Linked DNA regions of Kluyveromyces lactis. Each later gene encodes a partner of the first gene's protein in a complex. Links are inferred from orthologs where the notes say so. Each region holds a gene or a part of one and is shown in the gene's direction. Other genes may lie near its edges.

Evidence for each region.
Region 2: the proteins of RSC58 (region 1) and STH1 are in contact, whole or in part, in a cryo-EM structure (PDB 6V8O), measured with the Saccharomyces cerevisiae proteins. The link is inferred for Kluyveromyces lactis from reciprocal best matches to the Saccharomyces cerevisiae genes RSC58 and STH1. Residues at the interface, in NP_013133.1 of Saccharomyces cerevisiae: Ala23, Ala24, Lys122, Lys125, Phe126, Glu129, Asn239, Ala241, Pro242, Arg243, Leu244, Gly245, Val247, Gly248, Ala249, Asn250, Ile254, Pro255, Asp256, Pro257, Thr258, Thr262, Glu263, Met264, Met265, Phe268, His270, Pro271, Asn272, Trp273; in NP_012140.1 of Saccharomyces cerevisiae: Lys48, Pro49, Arg50, Ser51, Ser52, Leu55, Leu59, Glu80, Phe83, Arg84, Ile86, Ser87, Asp89, Gln90, Asp91, Tyr93, Glu94, Lys96, Leu97, Leu100, Arg101, Ser103, Ile104, Asp105, Lys106, Phe108, Gln109, Tyr110, Asp111, Glu112.
Region 3: RSC58 (region 1) and NPL6 share a complex: the UniProt entries of both Saccharomyces cerevisiae proteins name them as parts of the two forms of the RSC complex. The link is inferred for Kluyveromyces lactis from reciprocal best matches to the Saccharomyces cerevisiae genes RSC58 and NPL6.

What each region holds. Positions count from the first base shown.
Region 1 is NC_006042.1:1,593,465-1,596,700, reverse strand, and holds RSC58 (Rsc58p), read left to right. Parts: upstream 1-936; coding exon 937-992; intron 993-1,211; coding exon 1,212-2,664; downstream 2,665-3,236. Other genes in the region: ATP-dependent RNA helicase ECM16, read left to right, coding at 1-620; putative divalent metal ion transporter SMF3, read right to left, coding at 2,993-3,236. UniProt on the Saccharomyces cerevisiae protein: Component of the chromatin structure-remodeling complex (RSC), which is involved in transcription regulation and nucleosome positioning. RSC is responsible for the transfer of a histone octamer from a nucleosome core particle to naked DNA.
Region 2 is NC_006042.1:437,386-441,144, reverse strand, and holds the start of STH1 (RSC chromatin remodeling complex ATPase subunit STH1), read left to right. Parts: upstream 1-1,461; coding exon 1,462-3,759. Other genes in the region: MET18 (Met18p), read left to right, coding at 1-39; RRT14 (Rrt14p), read right to left, coding at 202-807. UniProt on the Saccharomyces cerevisiae protein: Catalytic component of the chromatin structure-remodeling complex (RSC), which is involved in transcription regulation and nucleosome positioning. RSC is responsible for the transfer of a histone octamer from a nucleosome core particle to naked DNA.
Region 3 is NC_006042.1:1,271,925-1,274,974, reverse strand, and holds NPL6 (Npl6p), read left to right. Parts: upstream 1-1,215; coding exon 1,216-2,478; downstream 2,479-3,050. Other genes in the region: AIP1 (Aip1p), read left to right, coding at 1-865; m-AAA protease subunit YTA12, read left to right, coding at 2,897-3,050. UniProt on the Saccharomyces cerevisiae protein: Component of the chromatin structure remodeling complex (RSC), which is involved in transcription regulation and nucleosome positioning. RSC is responsible for the transfer of a histone octamer from a nucleosome core particle to naked DNA.

The sequences.
Region 1 (3,236 bases):
TTAAAGACGAAGACTTGAAGAGCTCGATCCCCACCGATGTTCAAATCAAATTACTCAAGCAAATGATCACAGCAGGATTTATCGACCAGGTGGCCGTTCGCGCAGACCAGTTATTCCCGGAAGACGTTACTATCAACAAAACCAACATTTTCAATATCCCTTATGTTCCAGTCCTTGCTGAGAAAACATCTTCTTTGGATGATATCTTTGTTTATATTCATCCAACCTCAATTCTCAACAATTCTGGCGAGCAACCTCCGAAATACTTGGTTTTCCAATCACTACATGTCAATAAAAATAATGAAAAGGCGAAAACAAGGATGAAGTCTCTTTGTGACATTAAAAGCACGCCATTGGCTAACGTTGCAAGAAAGGGCTCGTTACTCACTTACGGAAAACCAATCACTGGACAAGGTTTGAAACCTATTGATTTATCGCCAACAGAAAGATTCTGCTATGTTGTTCCTAGATTTGGATCTTGCAATGATAGCGACATCAAGATTGGTTGGGAACTCAATCCTATCCCTGTTCATCAAGAGAAAGAGAAAGGTGTATGGACGGTCAAGAAATTCCTTACTCCAAAAGCATTTAAAAACTATCAAGCTTCGAAAAGACCCTAGAACTACACCAGTACAATTTATAGAATTAATTAACTCATATAATACCAATTGCATTGGAATAATTAAAGGCCAATACCTAGCTTGTTAGGCTATGACTGGGTACTGTTGCTGTGACAGGAATCTCTGTAAAAGCTGTCAATGGATGCCAGTTGGATCATGATGTACGGTTTTGATGTTTTTCATAATGAAAACACAGGTTTTGGCGCAGGTTGATCAATAAAGGCTTCTTACATTACTGCTGAATGACAAACTGATGGGCAGTGAGAGAGTACAAGGTCTGCAAACTCTTTTATAGTGGGCTAAAAATAAGTAAACAATGGTAGAGCTGCTAAAAGAGAATTTTTTTCAGAACTTACTAACTGTTTTAAAAGGGTATGTGAATATAAAAACAACACATTTTTCATTCGAATTATGTTGCATTCGCACATGTTTTTGTCTAGAATCGGTGATAATAATAAATTAAAGACCAGCATACGATGACCTGGGGTTCCTCAAGTCTTTATTTTATGTTTTCAGTGTTAGATTTGCCAAAGCATGATTTTATTTTACAATCAAATACTAACAGTATTAATTTTATTTTGATTTAATTAGTGCATCTTCGAAATGCAGAGCTTTAGATGAAAGGTTTCCTAAAGAATTCTACGAGCCTGATCCAACACACATATACGATTCTTACGTGAAGTTTCTAAGGGCCAAGTTTGATGAAAATCCAGATATCAAAATAGCAGAAGATATTGATTCAATTTCCATATCTGATAAATTTGCTAGTGGAGATTACCAGAAGCATGAAGATTCTGTTTATCGGATTTACCATGATATTAAATTAGTATGCTCCATTTTAATTCACTACTACTCTCAAGGAACGAGGTCGTACCAAATGGTCGACAAATTCTACAAATTTGCAGCAGAATTGATTCTAAGGGAATGTTATAGAGTTGGAGCCAAACTGGTGGGAGACTTCGCGGCAGACATTGACTTCAAAGAAAGTGATTTTTCAAAAACCATTTCCAATGATTTCCTTAAAATTAGTCAAGTTTATCAGCTCCCCGTTACTGAAACTTACCATACGCAGACAAAGGAGGGACATTTGTTCAGTTCGGTGATAACGAGGTCAGTACTTGATCAGAGGCCAAAGGAAGTACCATACGAGGAATGTGAAATTGTGAAAATTATTCCTCAAGCAACATCCCAACCAGCCAATAGATTGGGATTCGTAGCAGCTAACACTTCCAATGTTCCTGATCCAACAATTTCTCCTACAGAAATCATGACCTCCTTTCTGCATCCGAATTGGTACCCGCTACCCACTACTAAATGGTTGGAGTATGGCGACTATCAATCTTTTGCTCCGAGTATCTCGGAGTTCAAGTCTGTAACAGATTGTTCCCGTAAAGGAGACATATGGTTGGAAAAGGTCGGATACAAAAGCTGGTTAGAAATAGAATCGAAGAAGAGAGGGGCTGCGGAAGCAGAAGATAAAAATGTTGAAGATGAAAAAATAAAGGATGAGGGTATTGAAGATCAAAAGGTTGAGGAAGCAAATGACAGTATCGGATCTGACAACCAAAAAAAGGAATCAAATGAAAATGATGAAGAGCAGAATGTTGCCACGGATGAAGAGCAAGATACAAATGAGGAGGGAGATGAAGTAATAGTGACAACGGAGCCAGCTGGACCTGTCAATATTAATTTGAAAAATCTTTATGACTGGCAACCTAGCCATGAGATACATGATGAAGATATAACGGCTTTTGAGCAAGGTGAACAGCAAAGGTTATTGACAGAGATATTGCTAAAGCTAAAGGCATGTAAATCGAGAAGGGTCAAGCTGAACAAGATATCAAAACCAACAAGTGAGGAAGTTTCCCTTTATCATAGAGCACAGAACATCTTGAAAGAAGCTCTACTTTCTAAACAGATTGTGACATCTCCAAAATTGCACGAGAAACATTTCCCAGTCCTTCAGACTAATTATGCCGGATCAGTTCCTGTCGTCAAGACCATATCGACTAGAAAAAAGAAAAGTAAGAAAGTTATGCAGTGAAGTAGATATTTCCGTATAGAATCTATAAATCGCAGCTGTGGTAGTGTGCAATAATCTGTGGGGCTAGTTTATTATCAGTGATAGCTAACGGTTACTATTATTTGGAGTTATTTTCTGAAACCATCAGTGTTTCGATTTTTTTACTTCCTCAATTACTTTCGAAGGTAAATGTCCAAGAACAATTAAAGATTATATAAAGAACAAAGAAATTAACCACAACAAAGGTACAAGAGAAGAGATCAACAAAGCAGATCCAATAAGTACAATTTACGAATTGATTATAGATTAAACAGAATCCATCAAAACTATATAAAATGCCTACTTAGACTTAAAAATGCACGTCCGCTCCCATGAGGTATGAAAATACAAGATAACAATTCAATGAACCAATTGTCAACCATATAACAAATGAACTGATGCTCAACAGTCTTCCATTGGTGTAGTCAATGGACTTAACGCCTTTCGATAATAATCTACTTTCTTCAGTACTGTCTGCAGATGCGGGTGCAGAATCCACATCCACAACGGTCATAATTTTATGATTCATAGTGAAGTAAATCAAAGGAGCAGAA
Region 2 (3,759 bases), about 1.2 Mb from region 1:
CAGGCATATTTGGAATTAGGACAGGTACCATTTGAGTAGTTCTACTTCCTTCAAATAATGAATATACTTAATTAATATATATGAACCGACAATGAACACTTGAGTCTACTGAGTATTTGATCATATGCTGAGAGAAAAAAACACACCTTTGTATGAGCCGCAATGAAAACTCCGTACCTGTACGTCTTTGTAAATATGAGCTCAATAATCTTCATCTTCGTCTTCTGATTCCTCCTCATCGCTCGCACCAACTGGAGCCAATCCAGGTGTGAGAGCTTTATATCTGTGGTCTTGTATCGATTGTGGTAGCTTCTCCTTGAACTGTTTCTTCTTTTGTCTCCTAGATTTTACCTTCCTTACCTTCTTTGAATCTTCTGAGTTGGCAAGTATTTGTTTCTGTAAATCTAACAGTTCTTCCTTATCGTCATAATCCCAACTTTTCAGGTTGCGAACATTTTTCTTCACCACTTTATCCAAATAGGATTTCTCATGATCCGTAAGAGAATTATCTACTTGATGCTTTCTTAGTACTTGTAGCTTAGCCTTCTGTTCTATATCCTCTTGGACTTCTTTTCTTCCAGATATCTTCTTTCTCAACATTTTCTTCTCCCTCTTTTTGATCCGGTATACATCCTTTTCTTGTACCTCTACTCTTTTCTTCAAGTTCCTATCTATTAGTTGTGCTTTCGAGCCTTTGTCTCGGCTTGTTTTCTTTCTTTCTGCATTAACCGACGCAGAACCCGGCAGTACGCTTTGCAACAATGCGTTCACAGCGTTGGTAGCATGAGCAGCTGCAAGAGATGACATTATAATCAGAGAATTTTAGTTCTTCAAACCTTGATTGTCAATACAGAAGACACTTTTGTAACAGTTCGAAGCACTGTAACTATCTCAATCGGGGAACTTGATAGTTCACTCTCATCACATCTCATCTAATCTCATCTCATCTCATCCATGGCGTATTATCCAAATTTTCATTTTAGGTCATGAAATATTAAACAAGAAAAGAAACAATGGTGCCCACTTTAATGCGAATATTTTGGCACGTGATCGAAGTTGGTTTATTACCCGGTTCTTGTTGTTGTTACCCGTACTTTGGCCCATGGCAATAGTGAATGTCAAAGAAAAAAGTAAACACGATAAATAAAATTGTGAAAAAGAGGATGAATTTGAAAACAGTTTGATTTTATTCTGAATTTAGTTTTGACACGAGAAAAGGACGAACAGAGGTTTGTTTTCAACACGGCAACGGCGGCTAAAAAAATAGACGCACCGAAAGCGAAACAGTAAAGAATTCTAGGGCAATAGTACCTGTTTGTATCGCGTTAGCTTTGTGACAACTCTGAATTTTTTTAGCAGGACTTCAGTTATTGTTTTACCCCCTTTCAGAATAAAAAAGGTTTAAAGCTCACTAGCGGGAAGAGACCTGGATCACGTTAAGAAGTGTGAAATAAAACAACAATGGATCAAGTCGTCGTAACGAATAACGCGGATACAGCGCCTCCTTATCCGCTTCCTATAGTGAATTCTGAGAATGTTGATAATGGGAATTCCGAAACTGAAAACCAGGACGTTAACGGCAATATCGAAGACAACCATGTTGGTGCTGACAAAGGAAGCAACAACAATTTTCGGAACGACAGTGGTAGTGCTATTGGACAGAACCAGATTGCCGCTGTTCTAGAAGAAATGAAGAAGGTGGAAAGAGTAATCTTGCCACTACCTGAAACGAAAGAACAATTAGAAAATTTGATTTATCGTTACAGATACATTTCTCAATATAGAGATCATAATAAGCTTGAAGTTGAGGCTATTGAACAAATTTTCACCCAAATCTCGGATAAACAGGAAGAGTACAAGGAAAGGCTGCTGAGGTTAAGAGAAAACGCAGCCAAAGATATTCAGTGGGACGAAAAGTTGTTGAAGGAGCAAATGGTAAGCTTACAGCTTTTGAGTAAAGATATAAATATACCGGATGGCCTCTTAGAGGATGATGATGATGAATCAGTAAGTTCCGACAGTTCTGATATCTCGGTACAACTGGAGAAGGTTAAACTTTCTGTTGATTTCGACGAAACAAGTGTGCGCTTAGGCCTTCCCGAAGCTTTAAGCAACTTTCGTCTTAAATCTGGAAATGAAGCCTCGCTTGGAGATTGGGAGGTTGAAAAAATAATCTCCACACTCATTGCGAAAAGAATTAAACAACTTGAAAATCTACCCTCTAATTTGGGAACATATTCTTTAAATGATGCGCTTGATTTTGTAACTAAAGATGATATTCCTACCGGCGCAGACGACTTCAAGTTAAGAGCTTTGGTGGAGCTCAAGTCCTTGAAAATGCTAACGAAACAGAAATCTTTGAGAAAGAGGCTGATTGAAAGTGTTGCAGCTAAATCGCATAATATCATTCCATCTCTCCGTGACTCTCCTTATACTTTAGCAGCTCAAAGATCCATTCATGTTAGACCGAAGACCATCGTTCCACAAACTGCTAGATTAGCAGAAGAACTTGAAAGGCAGGAATTGGTAGAAAGCAGGAGAAGAGAAAGAAACTTACGGTTACAAAGGATCAATAATATTGTATCAAGTATCAACGAAAGATTGGAGAATGATACAACACAACGTGATCGCTGTTATCAAATGGGTAGATCTATCGGAAACTTGCATGGTCATTTGGAGAAAGATGAGCAGAGAAGAATGGAAAGAACTGCCAAGCAACGTTTAGCAGCCTTGAAGTCCAATGATGAAGAAGCATATTTGAAATTGTTAGACCAAACCAAAGATACAAGAATTACACATCTATTGAAACAAACTAATTCTTTCTTGGATTCTCTTGCTCAAGCGGTTAGAGTGCAGCAAAATGAGGTACGCATCAAAAGGGGTGAAGAAATTCCTCCAATCACGGATGAAGAAAGAGAAAAAATTGATTATTACGAGGTTTCCCACAGAATTAAGGAAACAGTAGACAAACAGCCAAGCATATTGGTTGGAGGCACGTTGAAAGAGTATCAACTAAAGGGTTTAGAGTGGATGGTGTCTCTATACAATAATCATCTTAACGGTATTCTCGCAGATGAAATGGGTCTAGGTAAAACAATTCAATCCATCTCGTTGATCAGTTATCTTTATGAAATAAAGAACGAGAGGCAACCATTTTTGGTGATTGTCCCTTTATCCACCATCACGAACTGGACTATAGAATTCGAAAAATGGGCACCTTCTCTAAGAACCATTGTGTACAAAGGGAACCCAAACCAACGTAAGGCTTTGCAACATACAATCAAAATGGGAAATTTCGACGTGGTTCTAACTACTTATGAGTACATTATAAAGGATCGTCCACTGTTGGCCAAACACGATTGGGCTCATATGATTATCGATGAAGGTCATAGAATGAAAAACGCTCAATCAAAACTATCTTACACGTTGACACATTACTACAAAACAAAAAATAGGCTAATTTTAACGGGTACTCCATTGCAAAATAATCTACCAGAATTGTGGGCTCTATTAAATTTTGTTTTACCTAAGATCTTTAATTCCTCAAAAACATTTGACGAATGGTTTAATACACCATTCGCGAACACAGGTACTCAAGAAAAGCTAGAAATGACAGAAGAAGAAACGCTTCTAGTTATTAGAAGATTGCACAAAGTTTTACGTCCATTTTTGTTACGTCGTTTGAAGAAGGAAGTCGAAAAAGATTTACCTGACAAAGTTGAGAAGGTTGTGAAATGTAAGCTATCAAGTCTCCAGCAG
Region 3 (3,050 bases), about 320 kb from region 1:
TCATGGTCACAACAAGGGGATTACTTCTTTGGCGGTAAACCCATTAGTGTCTGGGTCATACGATGGTAGAGTTGTTACCTGGAATTCAGAAGGTGACGAAGTCAATGCTATTAGCCATGATATTCATGGTAATCTCGTATTGGCCATCGATAACTCTGATAACGAGGTATCGAGTGTTTCTTGGGACGAAACGTTGAAGAATTTCATCGATGGTGAAAAAGCGCTTGCTGAAACGAAGTACCAATTCTCAGAGCAACCTAAATGTGCGGTTTTCTCTCATAACACTTTGGCTGTTGCTACAAACACTAACGAATTGTTGATCATCGATAACAAGAGTGGGCTATTATCGAAATCGATAACTCTAGATAAACCTGTCGGGGCCCTCGCATTGGGAACTACTTTCGTGGCAGTGGCATACGAACAAACCAACTCCGTGCAGCTATTCAAAATTTCTGACCTATCAGATGCATTCACGTTGGCCACTCCATTACGTGCCACTCCATCTGCTCTTTCCTTCTCTCCATCACAAAAGTACTTGGCTGCCGGTGACGTGTCCGGTAAGATTATCCTATATGATCTTGACACGAAGGACGTCAAGACCTCGAGATGGTCATTCCACACAAGCAGAATTACATCCATTGACTGGAGACCTTCTGCAAATGATGATGATTTGGAGGAAGATTATGTTGTCACTGGCTCTCTGGACACCAACATCTTCATCTACTCTGTTAACAAACCTATGAAAGTGATAAAAAGATTAAACGCACAAAAGGACGGTGTGTCCAGTGTACTATGGGAAAACGATTCCACTATCGTCAGCGCCGGTGTGGACGCCTGTATCAAGAGGTGGACCGTCGAGTTTTGAATGAGACACATTTTTTACCAGTAACACATAAAAGTATTTAACAGTTAGTTAACGTACGAAATATAAGACAATGAATAACAATAGGAGGATCAGATGTTGCATCAAGGCCCCCCCCCCCAGAAATATCTAGAGCTTCTAGTAAAGCCGTTGAAGTTGTTCTTTCTTCTTTATCATCTCATACGTTTTGATGTTTCTCTTGAACATTGAACAGATTCCTGCCTCTCAAAGCTTATATATAAACAAACAAGATCAACAAAGCTCGGTTGAAAGCGGATATACGCATAACATTCCTTAGTAATTCTGTATTTGGAATCACCAATCAAGAAGCTTGAGTTTCTCCTATATCAGATATGGCAGCAGCAGGAAGAGGCAGGAAGAGCTCGAGGGTTTCTCGCTCAGCTAACAAAGCAACCAGCTATAAAATCGATACAGACGAGTTAGACATTGAAGATGATGAAAAGGATCAAGAGTACCCTGGACCAGCCAATGATGATGATTACGATGATGACCCAGATGCTGATATCGAAAACGAGGGTAAACCATCTCGTTCCAAGCGCAAGGCCGCTTCGAGCACACCTGTTCCAGTGGTACTAGCGACAAGAGGAAGGCCTTCAAAGAGGAAAAGAGAAGAAGATTTGAACGATCCCTTAAGACAGAAACTACCGTACCCAGTGGACGAAAACGGGTCTCCATACCCAATTGTGAATGACGAGTATTCATTACCTGAGGATCCAGAGGGTGAAACCAAGATCACCAAGAATGGTGATCTTCTAGAGGGAAGACAATTTGTAGTCAGAACTTTCACGGTACCTTCCAGAGGTGAAGTTAAATACATGCTTTCTACTGAGCCAGCCCGTGCCGTTGGGTTCAGAGACTCATACTTGTTCTTCCAGTACCATCCAAACCTATACAAATTGATTATCTCGCAATCAGAGAGAGACGATCTCATCAAAAATGGTGTATTGCCCTATTCGTACAGAAACAGAATCATTGCGCTAGTTACTGCAAGGAGTGTGTTCCGAGAATTCGGAGCCAAGGTTGTTGTAGATGGTAAAAACATCACGGATGATTATTACGCCGGTAAGCTTCGTGCATCCGGGAAGGTGAAAGAGGGTACCCCAGCAAGAGAAACATCACACACAAGTGTCACTGGAAGAAATACCCTTGGAATAGACATTCCGCAACAATTATCCGTCAACCCATCCAAAAATGCAGTAGAATTCTTTGACAAGAGAAATCACAACATCCCGGCAACAAGCAATATCTCATCTACGAACTGGCTCTATCATCATGCTGCTGCATGCAGTAGATTCAACAGTGATCTTTTCTACGATAGAGAACGCATTCTTCTCATCGAAAACCTCGGACTAAGAGATACGTACACGAACGTCTTACATATACCACAATCCACACAATCGACGAGAGTGATATCAGTGAAGAAAGTGAAAGGAAACACAAGCCAAGTTATGTACGAAACAAGAATCAAAGCTCTTGACCTAGCAAGACCTTGCACCGGTCTTTCTGACGTCCCTACATCGATGTACGAAGACATCTTGGACGAAGATATAGTCGCTGCTATAGAAGAACAAAAGAGATTCGAAACAAGCCTATAACATAGCTGAACTGACCTCCCATGTATACGTGTATATCTCAACATACGTAATAAGAGTGTATTATACTAAGTGGCCGGGTAACGATATGTCCTTGCTCTACCAAAAATGAATTTGGGCTTTTCAACCAGAACAACCCCATAAGGTGAACAGACAAGGCCATTTGCCACCGATAAAAGGAGCGTTAGCAGTTACATTTGCAATCTACAGTGGTTGCATTGTGAATTTAAGACCCTATAGTAGTGTAAAATAGCCAGGTGTTTGTTGAAACGGCTGTTTTTGTCTCGGTTTGTTTCGGTGTTAACAAAGATTTTCCACTGGTTTTAAATTCGAAAAGTCCTGTTAGGTAAACGGTATAGCAATCAGACTCGGCTAACCGTAGCAGCGACGTGGTGGTTTTATTACATTGAAGTGACTTGCAATGTTCCATTTAATAAGGCCGGTATCTAGGCTTGGCGTAAAGTCTGTGGCCAGTAGGGCGTTGTACAAAGTTCCAAAGGGGCGTTCGCTGATATTGTTACGAAACGACGTATGCCGTACGTTCCATTCCGGTAAGCTCAACTTGATGCAGAATC